Linked DNA regions of Schizosaccharomyces pombe. The gene in region 4 interacts genetically with the main gene of each other region. Each region holds a gene or a part of one and is shown on either strand. Other genes may lie near its edges. The genes, in order: lys4, lys3, pro2 and sre1.

Region 1 (4,363 bases), 1.8 Mb from region 4:
CCTTCTAATGGTTTATAAACGTACATCAGAAGATTTTTTTAAGACAGTCTTAACATTCCAAATACCAATACTGAGGCACTAAACAGTTGAACGTTTTGTTATTCTTCAAGGACAAGAATTCCTTGACAAGAAATGAGCTAAGTATATTATTTGAAATAGCTAAAATAGTCACTGTTTTATTTCTATTCACGCATTGTTGTCATTGAAATGATGATGCTGAATCAAATAATGTGTTGAGCATAAAACGCACGTTAAATTCAGTATCTATGAAAATAATCTTTTTTGCCTAATGCTTAAGATAATTTTTTTTTTTTTTTTTACAAACTAATAAACAAACAAATAAATAATTATAGCTAATGTTCAGTTATTGTCCGGCTTCTTCCCGGAACTTAGTTAGGATAAGTGGCAGCAACACATACAGAATCCAAGTATCCTTTAACCCCCTTCTCATACAAAAAATAGCAGGCCTATTATCGTTACTATTGTTACCATTTTCCCATAAAAAAAGAAATATAATACTTAAATTTGATTATTTTGAATATTTCTGAGTAACTTTAAAGAACGACTTTTGCATGATAATAAAAACACGTTGTTTTATGACTTTTTGAAACCCTCACAACATAAAAACTTATATAATATGGCTTTACAACAATACAATAAATTTCCTTTCTTTTTTTCTGGTATTTTAGGACCTACGAGGTTGAATGGTTTACAAATGCCGCCTATCCAAACGATGGTTCGTTGGGGACACCAGTATGCACCCAGAAGCATCAGAAACCAAAAAGCTCAGAAAGGAAGAGTCCCTATACCCATAGGAGGTTCACTACGTGGTACTCAACTTGAATGGGGAGAATATGGTATGCGATTAAAAGATCGAAGTATAAGATTTCATGCCAAGCAACTCGAAACTGCCGAACAGATTCTCAAGCGTATATTAAAACCTATCAAGGCTGCTCGGGTATACACACGTTTTTGTTGCAATGTGCCAGTATGCGTAAAAGGAAATGAAACTCGTATGGGCAAAGGCAAAGGAGCTTTTGAATACTGGGCTGCACGGATACCAATCGGTCGTGTACTTTTTGAAATTGGTGGTGATGGAATGCGTAAAGAGTTAGCTGAGCATGCATTGAAGCAAGCCGCTTTTCACCTTCCAGGCAAGTATGAGATTATCGTCAAGCAAACCCCCAAAAGATTGGGTACCACACTGATTCATGAAACCCCCATTACCACCGAGACAAGCAAAATGAACTATCAGGAAATTACCAGTACTACTACAGCTGTTTAAGGGAAAAGTTAAGCTGAATTTATCTATTTTTAACCCATTCAATAATTACTTTTCTGTCATACTTCTCACTTACTTAGTTTGTGAACTTAATGCTGCATCTTTGTACAGACATTCATGAGCTTCTTTTCAATCGTTGTAGTTATTCTATGTTTTAGTGAATGAAATTTGCCAGAAATGCCTTAAAACATTGTACATTTTGCGCTATGTTTCATTATCTATTTTCGAAATGGGAACTTTCATCCCCAATGAGAGAGTTGCTTAATTTTTGTTGGCGAAATATGAACCACTTTTGATTCACTTTGATTACGGCTCGGCAATTTCGTTAAAACATCAAATTTCTTTGGTCCTGAAAAGTTGGTAACGGTAATGAGTGTTTTTGGCGAAAATCTTATTTGCTGCTCTCTGCTCCGTTGGGGACTTTTTTTCGGGATGTAAAAAACGGCACGTTGTATATGTGCGAAATCATGAAGTGAATCAAAAAGTACACTTTAAATAATATGAAACTGATTTTACTATGGAATTACGAATGAAATTATTCAAATCAACTCCACTAAAATATTTACAACGTTTACAAAAAAAATCACTATACCTTCTAGAACCTAGCTTAGCAATCCACTGTTGAGTGGATCAGTAACTTAATCATTACTACCATAGATCTGATTAAATCTCATCAAGATCGATCGGGATCTGTAAATCAATTTTCTACCATAAATTACCGCGGTTGCCTACGAGTTGGTAGTGACTGTTTCTTTCAGTAAATAAATAGGGTAGGGTCGAATTTTTTGAAATTCATACATACGTGCATCCTTGCTCTTAGTTGTCTCCTCTACAGTGATAAAAGATTTAGCTTAAAAAATTCAAAGCTAACAGGTTTCGGGACAATAAGTTGTTGAATTGTATAATTTATATATTTATACTTAATTCATTTTAGAAAATTCGCTTTTCCTTTTCCTTTTTTTGCATTTTAAAGTCATCAACATGTCTGTGTCCGAAGCTAATGGTACTGAGACCATCAAGCCTCCTATGAATGGAAACCCTTATGGTCCCAACCCATCTGATTTTCTTTCACGTGTCAATAACTTTTCCATTATTGAGTCTACTCTTCGTGAAGGTGAGCAATTCGCAAACGCTTTTTTCGACACCGAGAAGAAAATTCAAATTGCTAAGGCATTGGACAACTTTGGTGTCGATTACATTGAATTGACTTCTCCCGTGGCTTCTGAGCAGTCCCGCCAAGATTGCGAAGCTATTTGCAAATTGGGCTTAAAGTGTAAAATTTTAACTCATATTCGCTGTCATATGGATGACGCTCGTGTCGCTGTTGAGACTGGAGTTGATGGTGTTGATGTTGTTATCGGAACTTCTCAATATCTTCGCAAATATTCCCATGGAAAGGACATGACTTACATTATTGACAGCGCTACCGAAGTTATCAACTTTGTCAAGAGCAAGGGTATTGAAGTCCGCTTTTCATCTGAGGATTCTTTCCGTTCTGATCTTGTCGATCTCCTTTCTCTCTACAAGGCTGTAGACAAGATTGGCGTCAACCGTGTTGGTATTGCTGACACCGTTGGTTGCGCTACTCCTCGCCAAGTCTACGATCTTATTCGTACCTTACGTGGTGTTGTCTCTTGTGATATTGAATGTCATTTTCACAATGACACTGGTATGGCTATTGCTAATGCCTATTGCGCATTGGAAGCTGGTGCTACCCATATCGATACTTCCATTCTTGGTATTGGTGAGCGTAATGGTATTACTCCTCTTGGTGCCTTGTTGGCTCGTATGTATGTCACCGATAGGGAATACATTACCCACAAATACAAGCTTAACCAGTTACGTGAGCTTGAAAACCTTGTCGCTGATGCCGTTGAAGTTCAAATTCCTTTCAACAATTACATTACCGGAATGTGTGCTTTTACCCATAAGGCTGGTATCCATGCTAAAGCTATTCTCGCTAACCCTTCTACATATGAAATTCTTAAGCCCGAGGACTTTGGCATGAGTCGTTATGTTCATGTTGGCTCTCGTTTGACTGGTTGGAATGCCATCAAATCTCGTGCTGAGCAGCTTAACCTTCATCTTACTGATGCCCAAGCCAAGGAACTTACCGTTCGCATCAAGAAATTGGCTGATGTCCGTACTTTAGCCATGGATGATGTTGATCGTGTTCTACGTGAATACCATGCTGACTTGAGTGATGCTGATAGAATCACCAAAGAAGCGTCTGCTTAAATTGGAAGTGATTATTAGCCCCAATTTTAAAAATTTAACTCCTCTCTTCTTGGCTTGCATTGTATATATGTTTCGCATGTATATCTATTAAAAAATTTTTTTTCGTTGCAAGTGCTGGTTCTTTTACGTAGTGTCTTGATATTGATCATTAAAAAAGTTTTTTTCTCTTTATGTGTTCTTTTAAAGATCACAATTATTCCTGCTTCAAGCCTTATTGCAATGTTATATCTGGTTGCTTTTACTTTTGGGTCGTTTTATGTTTTAAGGTGATATATGACAAACATTATTTATCGTTTTTATTCTATTAAAATAAAATATTTTAATTTGAAAATTTATATTAGCACGCTCAAGGAATTACTTCCTTGCTACTTCATTTTATGTAAAGTTAATGCGTATTTTTATATAATTTTTCAAACCTATTATTACCTTTTGTAAAAAATAATTTAAACCCCTTGTAACCAGTGATTTTTCTTAAATGAAATTACTCTAAAAAATATGGCACCTAAAATTATCCATTCTATGCATTCGTACAGATATACTCTTCCTTAATTCTTTTTTTGAACCCTTTTAGACGTGTGCATCCCAGTCGAAAATTTATCACGATGCATAGAAGCTGAAATGTTAGTCAACAAAGATTCTTATTAAAAAAACATACCTTTGTTAAGTTTCTTCTCGTGTTTTCGAAAATCCACTTTACCAACTTTTGCTTTTTTGTTCATAGGATTTTTGATTGCCAAATCTTCACTATCGGAAGCATCCCTTTTATTATCCACGACTTTTTTATCACCTCTTGAACGACGTACGCGCCAAATTCGTTGCAACCATTCTTTATCAGTCTCATTC
Region 2 (4,151 bases), on a different chromosome or scaffold from region 4:
TGGTAATAATGTGTGGTTATGTCCCGAATAGATACACTATTAGGATTCGCCTTTAATGCATTTCGTACTACAGAAGAAAATGGTGCTGGCATATGAATACTAACAAAAGAACTATAAAGTAAGCAAATAAGCAAAATTATCCAATTTTCTATAAGACATTACATGTATATAATGTAACATGCAGAAAAAACCAAAAAAAAAAAAAAACTTTACTTACTTAATTGCTAAAACCTCTGCCAGCCAAAAAGGAAGTTCAACTTTAGAGCCCGTAGGAACCTAAACTGTTTAGAAAGTCAAGTTCTATTTTTATAAACTTCACTAACCATACGCCCTTCATGGCCTAGTCCTGGAATGGAAACTGTACTAGTACATGGAACCTTTTGATTTTCAGACAAGATACTATCAATATCATAGTAATCCATTTTTTTAATGTCTGAGCAGAAGGAATGATAGAAGTGTTATTGTTATTTTATCAAAATATGTTCATTTAGAAAAGTTGCAGTTACAAGGTAAAAGTAGGTAGATGCAACGATAAATTCAAATTTGAGTTGGCTAAGATATAGTGGATAAATAATGAACTGTAATTACACCAGTACTAATCAACAAAAAAAATAGAGATAAAAAAGATTTATTTTTACTTTTCTTAACAGAGCATCTAGTTCAAAAAATTAGTGCTGATAAATATTGTATGTTCGAGTACTAAAAATTTGCTTCAATGTTTAACTCGAAAAGTATGTCATACATGTGTATATTCGTCCTTCTGAAATTGGTCGAAAAATTTTATTAAAAAAAGGAAACTTTGTTCTATAGTTTCATTAAAGAAACGCATATGCTTGTTTGAATGTTATACCTATTTATGAAACTTGCTCATTATGCGATCAAAATTTACACAATCTTTCCGTAAAACTGATTTTTTTAAATGATTTTTAGTCCGTAATCTACAAAACATGATTGCATTGTATTCAAAATTATTTTGCGTATTAATTATTTAGTATGTCATTTCCAAATGCAAAAAGGTTTTAACACCGACATAGGCCAAATTTCATAAGTTATTCGCCAAGTTTCATCAACAGGTTCATCAAGTCATATACGCTTTAATCCATACTTTAGATGTCAACACCTTCGAGTTTATCAGCAATCTTTACCTGAGTAAATAATCAACCTGCTGCCAAACAATGTTGTAAAATCAAAGCAACAATTTGTTGTTCGTTTAATTAGTTACTCATAAAATTAAAGAGAACTCAGAGTTTACTTGGAAGGTAAATTAAATAGAAGTACCCCGCCAACTATAAACAATTAGTTTCAAAGGTTAAGCAGACTAGGATATACAGGAACTTTACATCCAAGACATCATCAAATATGCTATTCCCCCAATGTTATACGCAACAAATGGATGCCTTCGTAAGAATTGATATCGACGTTTGGTGAACACAGCACGAAACGTTAAAAACTTATTCACTACTTTTTGGAGAAGTACGCATCTTCCAAATGTCTTCACTATTCGGCCCTTGCCTAAACTTCATCCACTGCTGAAGACGCCGCTTACGAAGCCCTTCTTGAGCCTCTTCGTGAGCCTTCGACTTGGTTGACAGACACCATTTAAAGTCTTTAAAATTTCCCTTACATCTGTTGTATTCACCATAACGATAGTAATGATTCATTTGTGAGAACACTGTTAAACACATGGCCATTTGGTCAAAGTAATACTGTAAACTACACGGATCCTCAGGAATCCCTTTTTTCAAGTCGAGTATTTTATCTAGTTCCGCATACTGACCAAAAGTGCTTTTTTCATCATTTTCTTTAAAATTATTCATTATTTAAAAGCATACTAGTAAAAATCAAGTGAATTGTGCCTAGGATAGGTAGCTAACGTGACTGCCACTGAACCTGTGTAGCGTATTAGATCCATCAAGATCCCTTCTGCTCATATCATTGCTGATCTGTAAATTGACCGCATCAAATTTGATCTCATTTATATCGAGATTGATCTATATTATTTTGCCAATTTGCAGTATATAAACTTATTTGATTAAGTTTTTGGTCTCCTTCGCCACGTCTTCATTTTGTTAGTTTAAATTTTTTTGACTAACTTAGAAAGGGAAGTTTTTAAAAACGTTGAAATACTTTTTCGATTTAAAAATATATATTTAATTAATTTTCTGTTCCAAAATGGTTGCTCCTCATCTTTGGTTACGTGCTGAAACCAAACCTTTAGAAGAGCGCAGTGCTTTGACTCCTAGAACTGCCAAGATACTCGCCGATGCTGGATTTCAAATTACCATTGAGCGCTCTTCCCAACGTGCTTTCAAGGACAAAGAATTTGAGCGCCTTGGTTTCCCCATGGTTCCTGAGGGCTCATGGCGACATGCACCTAAGGACGCGTACATTATTGGTCTCAAAGAGCTTCCGGAAAATGATAACAGTCCTTTGAAGCATACTCATATTCAATTTGCTCATTGCTACAAAAACCAGGAAGGTTGGCGTGAAGTCTTGTCCCGATTCCCCGCTGGCAATGGTCTTCTATATGATTTGGAATTTTTGCAAGATGACAATGGCAGACGTGTTGCCGCTTTTGGTTACCACGCTGGTTTTGCTGGATCAGCTATCTCATGTTTAGTTTGGGCACATCAATTATTGCATCCTAACAAACAATTCCCTGCTATCCGTCCGTTCCCCAACGAAAAATCTTTGGTTCGCCATGTTGCTCGTCAAGTACGTTTAGCTTTGAAAAAGAATAACAACCAGTATCCTCGTATTCTGGTTATTGGGGCTCTTGGTCGTTGTGGTACTGGAGCGTGCGATTTAGCATCAAAGATTGGTATTCCCTTCGATAACATTCTTCGCTGGGACATTAATGAAACTAAGAAGGGTGGTCCCTTTACCGAAATTACGGAATCAGACATATTTGTTAACTGCATTTATCTGAGCATGCCTATTCCCAAATTCTGTACCGTCGAGTCGTTAAATGTACCTAACCGTAAATTGCGTGTTGTTTGTGATGTTAGCTGTGACACTACCAATCCTAACAATCCTATTCCAATTTATAATGTAAACACTACATTTGATCATCCTACAGTTGAGGTTAAAGGTGTCACAACTCCTCCTCCTTTAGAGGTCATTTCTATTGATCATCTTCCTACTTTATTGCCAAGGGAATCTTCCGAAGCATTTAGTGAAGCTCTAATTCCTAGTCTTTTGGCTTTGAAGGACGTCGACAATGCTCCCGTTTGGGTCAGAGCTAAAAAACTTTATGAAACCATGGTTCAAAAGCTTTAAAATAAATGTTATTTAATTTCAAAGTTCCGGGTCCTTTATATTGTTTCACCAAATTATTGAATATTATTTTCTCAAAAATTAACTTTAGAATACAATTTAGACGGCATTTTCGATGCTCTGGACATTTTTTCCACGTACTTGTTAAATTGTAGCGGTGTTGCATAATACTACCTTTTGATTTGTTATTCACGTTACAATATATATTTGACTAATTTAAATATGATAATATACACATTTCTCTGCAAACCTCCTTTATACTTTTCGCCGGTCATTGATTAATAATTAAGAAACAGGATTTCATCCTGCATTTGCCACTTACCTATATGGTAAATATAAATCTTGAAACTTTCCCCAATATTTATTGCTTGCCTTACGAAGTTAAATTATAGGCACAGACATCTTTGGCATTGGAAAGATTTAGTAACAATCATAATGTAGCACTTCTTAAAAAATCTAATTTTAGAACAAAAAGGCTTAAAAAAGAATGGTTCCGCTCTTTTAAAAAATAGTAAAATGTACAATAGCAAGGTTTTCGTAGGTCGACGGACATAACAAGGGGAAAGAGAAATAAAGCATGTAAACGTCAATAAAACATCTTTGATTCTGGATCAATCATATGCCAAATGAAGAAAAATAGCATTTATAACAACATGAAACCATATTTGAGACCTTTTAACGATGAAAATTTATTAAATAAAAGATAAAAAAGAAAGAAACCGTTCAAGTTCAATGAAAATTTCGTCGTGAAGTAGAAACCAAGATAATGGAAAGGCTTCGCAAAGCCACAAATTTTCCAATAGTCATTATAACTGAAGATTAAGGACAGTACTAACATCTGGAACACGAGCAAGATGTTCAAGAAATGGAATTAA
Region 3 (3,909 bases), on a different chromosome or scaffold from region 4:
TTCATGGATGCGCTAGCGATATAAGCTTACCAAAGTGTGGAATAAAGAATACAGTGACGAATGAAGCTACTAAATAGTGCAATTTAGTGAATATTCCTTTTGTTATAGATAGGTAACATGGGTAACGATGCTCAGTAAGCTCATTCAAACATGACACAGCCGGCTTCGTACAGCTTACATTACCCAACGACATATACATACTTTTGTTGTACCTGTCCCGTATTTGTGGACACTGGAAAAGTAGAATACTTAGAATGAGATTACCTCTGCTGAGTTTTGTTATATTTGCGCTTTTTGCGCTTGTATTTGCATCAGGTGTTGTAGAGCTCCAAAGTCTCAATGAGTTGGAGAATACTATCCGAGCTTCTAAAAAAGGAGCATTGATTGAGTTTTACGCCACCTGGTGTGGACATTGTAAATCTTTAGCGCCAGTGTATGAAGAACTTGGCGCTCTTTTCGAAGACCACAATGATGTCTTGATTGGCAAAATTGATGCGGATACACACTCCGATGTTGCTGATAAATACCACATTACTGGTTTTCCAACACTGATCTGGTTTCCTCCTGATGGATCTGAACCAGTTCAGTACTCCAATGCTCGCGACGTTGACAGTTTGACTCAATTTGTGTCTGAGAAAACTGGTATCAAAAAACGCAAGATTGTCCTCCCTAGCAATGTAGTTGAGCTCGATTCTTTGAATTTTGACAAGGTTGTTATGGACGATAAAAAAGATGTTTTAGTTGAATTTTATGCGGATTGGTGCGGTTATTGCAAGCGTTTGGCTCCTACTTACGAAACTCTTGGCAAGGTATTCAAAAACGAACCAAACGTTGAGATTGTTAAAATTAATGCAGACGTCTTTGCTGACATCGGAAGGCTACATGAAGTTGCAAGCTTTCCCACCATCAAATTCTTTCCTAAAGATGATAAAGATAAGCCTGAATTATACGAAGGAGATCGTTCTTTAGAATCTTTGATCGAGTACATTAATAAGAAATCTGGAACTCAACGTTCTCCCGATGGCACTTTACTTTCTACTGCCGGCCGTATTCCAACTTTCGATGAATTTGCTGCTGAGTTTTTGGATATGTCAAACGCTGCCAAGGAAGTTGTTCTTGAAAAAGTCAAGCAGTTAGCCTTAGAGGATTCATCTAGATGGACTAAGTATTACAAGAAGGTTTTTGAGAAGATTTTAAATGATGAAAATTGGGTACATAAAGAAGCTAAGCGTTTGTCTAAACTTTTACGCCAGAAGAGCATCGCTTTGGCCAGTGCTGATGATTTTAAAACTCGCCTTAACATTCTAAATTCCTTCCTTCCTGGTAATCACTAGTGATTTGGAAATGTTTGCTACGTTATAGGTGAAAAAACTTAATCTTATGACCGTAGGTTTATAAATAAATCAACAGTTTCATGATATTTTCGATAAATACTGAGGAATATGTAGGTTAAAGTATTACCCTTTAACAATTTTTTATGTACTTATAAAAATAGATTTTCTCTCCATTAATGATTTGTGTCTTTTTTAGTTTCTACGTATATGATAAACTAAAGACAATAATTAATATTAAATAGAACGTTGTAGGTAAATTCAACAGCTATATACTCTAACAGGCTTTTATCCTTAAAATTGAAATCCAAATCCTACATATAATTATTCCTTATCAATGGGCTATAAGGCTTTCCGTTATTTTACCACTACTAGATGGGCCGTTGATTTGTAAAGGTGAAGACAAGTCGTATTCCACTAAAATTTATCCTTTTTTTAAAAAATAAATTTCAACAGTAACTTTGTAGATTTTTTTTAAAATGTCTCCGAAGTCGAAAAGCACAAATAAGACTTACACAATTGTCATCAAACTTGGTAAGCACGGAATAGTAAGCTATACAAAAGCATATGTATGAATTTTATATCTCACTTTTTCAAATATGTATTTCTTTGTTTGCTCGTTGTTGGCATCACAAACGCTTTGCTAACATTATTTTAGGCACATCGTCAATTTGTGATGAAAAGACTCATGAACCATTAATTTCAAATTTGTCACTAATCGTTGAAACCGTTGTCAAGCTTCGAAAGTTGGGTCATAATGTCGTTTTGGTTTCAAGTGGTGGTATTGCAATGGGCCTTCGTAGATTAGATTTACCTAAGCGTCCTTCAAAGCTTTCTGCTGTACAAGCAATTGCCGCGGTCGGTCAAGGAAGACTAATTTCCTTATGGGATACCTTATTTACACAACTTCGTCAGCCTATTGCGCAAGTTTTAATCACTAGAAACGACATTGCCGAGGTAAGATTCAGATAATTATTGTTGACACTTAAAAAATTATTTTAATTACTGACGGGTACTAACTATTAATATTTAGAGATCCCAATATGTAAATGCAGCGAACACAATTTCCGAGTTGCTACATTTTGGGGTAGTTCCCATTGTAAATGAAAATGATACTCTGTCTGTTCAAGAAATCCGTTTTGGTGATAACGATACTTTATCGGCAATTACAGCTGGCATGATAAACGCAGATTATTTGTTTTTACTTACAGATGTTGATTGTTTGTATACAGACAACCCACGTACCAACCCTGACGCTAAGCCTATTTTAAAAATTCATGATACATCAATGGTAAATGCAAACGTTTCCACACCCGGTAGTGGAGTTGGAACAGGGGGAATGAAGACGAAATTGATCGCTGCAGATTTGGGAACGTCTTCAGGCGTAAATGTTATAATATGTCGTGGTTCTAAACCTTCGAGTATATTCGATATAATCCGTCAGGAATCCTCTGATAATAAAAATGAGTCAGTTGAATTACCTCTGCATACCCACTTTGTAGCCAAAAAGCAAGGAAGGATCCGTGATCGACACTTTTGGCTTTTGCACGGCCTTAAATCACATGGGAGTTTGGAAATTGATCGTGGGGCTTTCGAGGCTATAACCCGTACAAATAGAGCAGGATTACTACCAGTTGGTGTAACCAAAGTACATGGCCATTTTTCAGCTCACCAAGCAGTTACGGTTATTTACAACGGAGAGGAAATTGGCAGAGCCCTTGTTAATTACAGCAGTACTGAAATAGATTTGATTAAAGGCAAGAGAAGCAAAGAAATTGCATCCATCTTAGGATATAACGAAACTGAATATGTCGCCTACAGAGACTATTTAGTAGTTCATGGTTTAAATTCTCATCATGATTCACAAGTTAGTTCTGATGAGCATTGATGTATATATTTAATCACTAGCTTATTTAGAACTACTAAAATTTGTTTTTGCTCTGTTTTTTACCTTTATTATTGGCTTACTGTTATTGAAATTTTTTTGTTATAGAAGGAAGGTTTACGAACTTAATATACAAAAACAGAACCATAAATATCTATTAGAAAATTTATTAAGATTTGTTTATTTTTGTTAAAAAACTATTAACCTTAGATAATAATCAGACGTTTTGTACTGAGTTGTGTAATTAACAAAGTACATTTTGTTGGTATTATATCGGATACTTCCTACGAAGCCTGTGATTGGATTTGGCTTTCATAAACGATGAATATAAGTACACGCAATTCCAACCTCCCCTTGATACAGTAAAACTTACAAAGAAAACAATGAGTAGCTCGACTTACAGGAAATTGCCTAAAATCTTAGCTGCAGGTCTTGCTATTGGTTGCGCAGGTGGTTATTATGCTTATAAAAATTCGAATAAGCCCCCAGGACTTAATCCCGAAATTTATGCTCCATTTACAGTTAATAAAATTACAGAGCTTACATCCGATGCTAGCTTGTTTTCGTTAGTTCCTCAGAGCCCTTCTGAACACCTTACTACTTTGGAACCGATTGCTAAGGTAACAATTCGTGATCCCAGTATGCAAGTCCAGAGACCATATACCCCTTTGTACTTGGATGCCAATGAATTAA
Region 4 (5,871 bases):
AAAGCTTTGCAAAATGTTTGTTCATCTTCAAAGGAGAGCTAAGTTCTTGAATCGACAAATAATAAAAGCGAGTCTATTTATTTTTATTTTAGGTTGTAGGATTCAGAATAAGTTAACCAATATAGTAGTAAATAATACATAAAAACAATTTGGTAGTTTGTTTACCTTTGGTGAATGGTTCGTATTACTCCCGAGATTTCAGTAAGGACGGAACTACGTACTGTACCGTAAAACTTCAGACCACTCTTATCTATCTTATGCATTTCCATTTTATTAATAATTGACATTCTTTTTTTTATACAATTGGTATAAAATGGATATCAGCAGTCTAAGATTCAACACATCTTCATCAACAGCAGAGAGTTAACTGCAAGAGAAGAATCCAATTTTTTAATCTTGCCAATGTGTCATTATTTAAAAAAATAGTTAGTTCGATGAACCTTAGCATGCCTCAAATTGTACTCTATTCATTTTATTTAATCACCAAATATACTCAAATGGTGAATTGTGCTAGCTTGATACAACAAAATAACTCTAATTGCATATTTTTATCACTGCTCTTACCGACGACAACTGTAATTTATTAAAAGAATAATTAAAACTAAAAAATGATACGCAAAATAACTGATGAAATAACAATCATGGAAAATAATAAGGTAGTTGCAATAGATGAGCGTTGTATACTAACTGTTCTCAAAGCTCGAGAATCGACAATTTAAGCTGATGAAACATAACCCAAATCTTCTTGTAAGCGAGATCCAATATCTATGCAAGAGTTGATTAACTTACGAGATAATTTCAAATCTTGAATTTTCAAAGTTCCGATGGCCGTCCGCACGTACATGGCCATCTTTTCAACGACATCGTTTTCCTTTGGAGATGTGCAAATAGGAGCAAAAGTGTTCAAAGCGGTCCAGGAAATAATAAAAGATAAAGGTGTAATGTCTGCATCACTATCAGGTACAAAGATTTCCTGATACATACGTTTAGAAACATCCCCGTATCCAAGGCGTTGGAGTGCTAATGATAGGCATGAGTGGAGTGTGAATAGCTTGGATAAGTTGATCTTTAACACGCTTGACTGCTTGCGTTTATCTTGGCTGCATAAATCCAAAGTGTTCTTGTATGCTGCAAGGACTTCATTCAAAGAATCAGCTGTATTCTCGGGGAACAAAACCAATTTAGCTAGTAAAGCATGACGAATAATAGAGGAGTTCTTAGGACAAAGGGAAATAATTTCCTCAATCTCGGATATCTCAACTTTACGGCTCAAACTTTCCATCAAAAGGGCATCCAACAAATCAGCGGCATACCATGAGGCAAGCACCTCTAGAGGAGATAAAACCAAAACATCAGATAAGGAGCTAATAATACTATCTGACATTTGAGCAGAGTCACGGGTGCACTTTGCTAGAACCCACAATCGCTCAACCATATTCGGAGAGAAAACGTCGTCAGCGTGGGAGTTTTCAATTAGGTTAGCAGTACACTCAGGAAGCTCACGTAACTCCGCGTGTACAGAACTTTTGCTATGTTGTTTCTTTGCAGCATTCCAGAAGAAAGCAACGCACTTCGAAACGATAGCGGATGGGACAGAGGTGTTGGAAAAAATTAGTTGGCAATACATTGCTTGTAAAGCACAAGTATGACTTGAAGGAGGAAGAGAAAATGAACTGGCAAATACCATTAAGAGCCTCAAACGGTCAACTTTAGCATCACCACCCATTAATTGGGCATCCAAAAGCTTTTCCATGTTGCGAACTTCAGCAAGTTGTTGCTCACTATAAACCCAATTCTCAGAGGAGGTATAAAGAGCACTCAAACGATGAGTCAAATAGCCATAAGCAGATTTAAGAGTGAAGATCAGTAATCCAAAAAATAGAGAAATAGTCGAAGTAGAATGGTCCAATAAACAATACTTTTCGAATACGGTTTTTCGGAATAAGATTGAGGATGGTGACATGGAAGATCTGGTACTAACTTTAGATTTCTTTTCACCCTTGAAGCCTTTGAAAAGAGAGTTATCGTGCAAAAGATAGAATAAACCGAGTAAAACAACACCAATTTTCAGCATGTTAAAGAGAACAGTACCTGTGAATGGAGACATAAGAAAAGGTGGAAGAGCGAATAAACCATAAACAGATTGAGAAGAATCGTTTCCAAAATAATTGAATAGACCAAGTCCAACCATGCCATTTAGTGCTGTGCGGCCCATGGTATTTAGGGTTGGGGAAGTAAAAGCTCTTTGGGTTAGGTTTGGTCGAGAAGATTGGTGAACAGAATAGTCAGATGAGGAAACAACATTAACAGAGTTAACGGCTCGAGTATCGTTAGAAGGAGGAGCCATCGAAGGATCTTCGTAGAAAGCCAGCCTATCTGAAAGCTGCTTGTTAGTCTTCTGTAGTTCCTTATTCTTGGCCTCCAAATGTCTGATATACTCAGTTGCTTTTGCCAATATTGTACCCTTGTTAAGCTTACGAGCGGGTGTCAAACCCCCCAAATCCTCATCGTCCAGAGAATTACCACAACGAAGTGCAGCAGCAGCACGAAGTGAAGGAACTGCATCACGCAATTCACAAATTCGGTCGTTCAAGTTGGTTCTGTATCTCTTCTCAATCATGTTATGAGCTGTCTTCTTTGGTTTTCCTCCAGGACCGGCTACAAAATCTGGGGTTTCAGAAGGAGATAATGAGCCTCTAGACTTGGGGGCCGAAAAAGGTAATGTTTCAGGAATTGAGCAAGAATCTTCCGAGGAAGGAGACAACTTTATTTTCTTGGCAGAAGGTTCAGGCTTGCAAGTGGTGTCCATGGGTGTAATAATTTCTTCGGTTTTCAATTTGACTTCTGGATTTGACATATCAGCTGAAGGATAATTTTGAACAGTCGATGGATCGATTGTATCAACAGAGTGAAGGATTTTCATTTGGCGCTGAATTTTATCATCGGCATCGAACTCATTCAATGATGGGCCGGTAAAGGTCTCATTCTGAAATGAATTTGGAGAGCCGCAATTAGAGAGAAGAGGATTTGTAGAGTTTTCTAACGAGTTAGGGGAGCCCATGTTGGTCGAAGTAAACAGAGGAGGCGCCGAGTTCATCGTATTGTCGAACGCAAAAGGGTTAAGCCAATTGCTCATTGATGACTCCATATCAGAAAGGGAAAACGAATGGGGAGACAACGAGGTGTTGGTCAAGGTTGGAGGTGAGTCCTCGACAATGCTAGCCAAATCACACAACAGATTGGAACAATTCTCCACAAAGGGAGTAGAAGTTGAAGCCTTTGTCGATGAAGCCAAAGGGGATGAAGAAGGAATCGCACCCACTGAATTGGGTGATTTGCTGTCAGGCGAAGCTTTTGTTGGAGTTTCCATTGCAGGAGAAGCGACCGACACGGAAACTGACGGAATTGAGCTTTGCATATTTAACAAAATTTCCAGCTAGAACCAAGCGGAATTTAACAGCGAGTTAAAAAATCCAACAATAAAGAGAAATTGAATTTAACTCTTAGGGTTTTTTATCTCTGTGACTGTATAGGATGTTGAGCGAATTTTCTAATCGAGCTACAAATTATCCAAAATTTGACGCATTAAAAGCTATCCAAGGCGATAGATAGCAAAATAATTTCTTGAATGAGTTGTAAAATAAAATAATGTTCTTAGCAAGAAGGAAATCCAGCTTGATAATCGTTTAAGATTAGGTTATAGCAAGAGTCGAGCGCAGTAAACAAACTCTCAGCAACAACCCAATTGTTGTCAATGAACTTATAAAGGCTACTGGACGTCCTATAAGTAAAAAAATTTAAAATCGATCACCCGATAAGCAAAGTTAGGATTGCTCGAGTATGGTAATGGATGAAAGAGAAAAGTCGTGTTAATTCATATGTGAGCAAAAAAGAAGTGGACTGACATGTTTTTAACGAAACGTAAGAAAATAGACGGAATGGGGTGATTCGTTAAAGTATGGTGTGAAAAAAATTCCGTGGCGTATCAAAGACATTTTATAAATATTTAGTGTGCTGTAAACTAAGTCTATCGAAATTTGTTTACAAGAAAAAATAGCGTATTTGCGATAATATGTGAAATCGATATATATTAATATACAAATCTATTTGATTAGATGTTTGTTATTCATAAATTGTTTTTTAATAAGTTCAAGTGTAAAACCATTTCAATCCATAACTTTTCCTTGTAGAGTCATTCCAAGTTAAATCGTAGACGCATCACAAAATGCGTGCTTCGCTTTACTCTTTTTTTGTATATTACTTATCCTTAAATATTCCGATCTACAGCACCTTCATTGCTCTCCAATTTACTAATTTGTTCTTCATCATCATCTTCTTCGTCTGAAGAAGATGAAAGTGGTTCAAGCAAGTCCAAATCTTCAAGTTGGAGTCGACTTCGCAATGGGGGCAGGGAAATATCGCAAACTACTTCGGCATTTAGCAAATCATCAACAACCTCATCCAGATATGTTAATCGGATCTCAGAATTAGTACGAATTCTTAATTTCCGATAATCTCTTAACAGCGGTTCCAACGTTTGATGCACTTCCACATCATCCCATGTAAGCCGAACGTAAAATGCAGCCAGGGCACGTAAATACTTGAATTCAGGAATAGATAGGTACTGTTGAATTATTTCTTTTTCAGGTGCAATTTGTAAAAGCTTGTATAACAAACAGATAAACTCGGTGGGCCGTTGATTTCCATACTGACCACCTATATATTCAAGCCGTACTGCACGATCCACCAATGAACAAGCTAAGATGTATTAGTCAGTGAATTTGGAATAACAGTTTGAGGACTGATTAAAACAGCAAGTACCTATACTTGGTTTCTTTGCTTGCCAAATCAAGTTCATTTAGGCTATATCACTCAAAATATCGATTTGGAAAGTAATCGTACTTGAACTCTAATATGTAAAAACACTTTCCTTTTCTGTCAATGAAGAACACATACCATTCAATCCAAAACATTGTTCTTTCCAGTAAATAGAATCTACTATGCGTTCTCTCAAGATTTTTCCTATAAGGAAAGTCGGCAGCATTTCATGCGCCGCCTCACCTTGAGAGCGATAATCTCTAGCAAGAAAATCAGCCATAGTACCTCATGAAGAGAATGATTGCTCCAACCTTGATGTCTTGACTTGGAGTAAGCTTTTAAGGAGCAGTAGTGTACTGACAATATAAGTGGTCAAGTCTGAAGAAGCATGCTGAGTTTTGATTGAGAAAGGGTTATCTAAAAAAAACATGGATTCGTGAAATATGGAGGAAAAGGGAAAATGCCCGTACTCATTGCAATGAAAGAAGAAAAAGTTGATCTACTAAACAATGCACACTGTGTACACAAAGCACATGAAATTCAAGCGATTATGTTGTTTTAAGCTACTCATCGAGATTTGCCAAACGATATATATTAAATTCAAATAAACGCACGGACATATTATTTATTCATTCATTGTCATGTGGAATCGGAAATTTTTTTTTTGTAAATTTATATACCTAAGAACACATTAACCAATTAAGGAAGATGAATAAAAGGATAAAAAGAAAAATCTTAACAATATACAGTATGCTTGAAAAACACTTTACAAATCCAATCCAAAAAAATTTCTTAACTTACTTTGCCCTACTTTACTTCAAATATCTCTTATGCTTTTACAATGGTAATTTTAAAAAACAATGTCTCTATATTCAAACACGTAATTTCAAAACAGTATGAACTCTCATTAAGGGGACAAAAAAATATAATTTTAATGAAGCCCACCGTCTATTCAATCATTTCCATCTTTCAAAAACCACAAATTTAGAGAGTGTTGACAGTGTAGAAGTCCTCAAGAGCGGTAAGAACACGCTTGGTCATGGTCTTCTCACC

What was found.
Region 1: mutations in sre1 (region 4) and lys4 together harm fitness more than expected from each alone (negative genetic interaction), as found in Schizosaccharomyces pombe (2 studies listed by BioGRID).
Region 2: mutations in sre1 (region 4) and lys3 together harm fitness more than expected from each alone (negative genetic interaction), as found in Schizosaccharomyces pombe (2 studies listed by BioGRID).
Region 3: mutations in sre1 (region 4) and pro2 together harm fitness more than expected from each alone (negative genetic interaction), as found in Schizosaccharomyces pombe (2 studies listed by BioGRID).

What each region holds. Positions count from the first base shown.
Region 1 is NC_003423.3:3,505,208-3,509,570, reverse strand, and holds lys4 (homocitrate synthase), read left to right. Parts: upstream 1-2,022; 5' UTR 2,023-2,263; coding exon 2,264-3,520; 3' UTR 3,521-3,863; downstream 3,864-4,363. Other genes in the region: mrpl16 (mitochondrial 54S ribosomal protein uL16m), read left to right, coding at 638-1,285; SPOM_SPBC1105.01 (rRNA-processing Rrp12-like protein), read right to left, coding at 4,066-4,133, 4,176-4,363. UniProt on the Schizosaccharomyces pombe protein: Catalyzes the aldol-type condensation of 2-oxoglutarate with acetyl-CoA to yield homocitrate, the first step of the alpha-aminoadipate (AAA) lysine biosynthesis pathway.
Region 2 is NC_003424.3:528,350-532,500, forward strand, and holds lys3 (saccharopine dehydrogenase Lys3), read left to right. Parts: upstream 1-1,929; 5' UTR 1,930-2,172; coding exon 2,173-3,279; 3' UTR 3,280-3,632; downstream 3,633-4,151. Other genes in the region: GINS complex subunit Psf3, read right to left, coding at 1-111, 218-276, 324-422; SPOM_SPAC227.17C (uncharacterized protein), read right to left, coding at 1,452-1,817; NLI-interacting factor-like phosphatase Psr1, read right to left, coding at 4,083-4,151. UniProt on the Schizosaccharomyces pombe protein: Catalyzes the NAD(+)-dependent cleavage of saccharopine to L-lysine and 2-oxoglutarate, the final step in the alpha-aminoadipate (AAA) pathway for lysin biosynthesis.
Region 3 is NC_003424.3:2,026,654-2,030,562, reverse strand, and holds pro2 (glutamate 5-kinase), read left to right. Parts: upstream 1-1,695; 5' UTR 1,696-1,810; coding exon 1,811-1,865; intron 1,866-1,989; coding exon 1,990-2,288; exon of another isoform or gene 2,289-2,364; coding exon 2,365-3,219; 3' UTR 3,220-3,355; downstream 3,356-3,909. Other genes in the region: ER protein disulfide isomerase Pdi2, read left to right, coding at 255-1,334; cytochrome c-heme-linkage protein Cyc2, read left to right, coding at 3,600-3,909.
Region 4 is NC_003423.3:1,689,375-1,695,245, reverse strand, and holds sre1 (transcription factor Sre1), read right to left. Parts: upstream 3,853-5,871; 5' UTR 3,419-3,852; coding exon 716-3,418; 3' UTR 555-715; downstream 1-554. Other genes in the region: SPOM_SPBC19C2.10 (BAR adaptor protein ), read right to left, coding at 1-25; U4/U5/U6 small nuclear ribonucleoprotein complex subunit PRP38, read right to left, coding at 4,268-4,758, 4,957-5,098; fructose-bisphosphate aldolase Fba1, read right to left, coding at 5,803-5,871.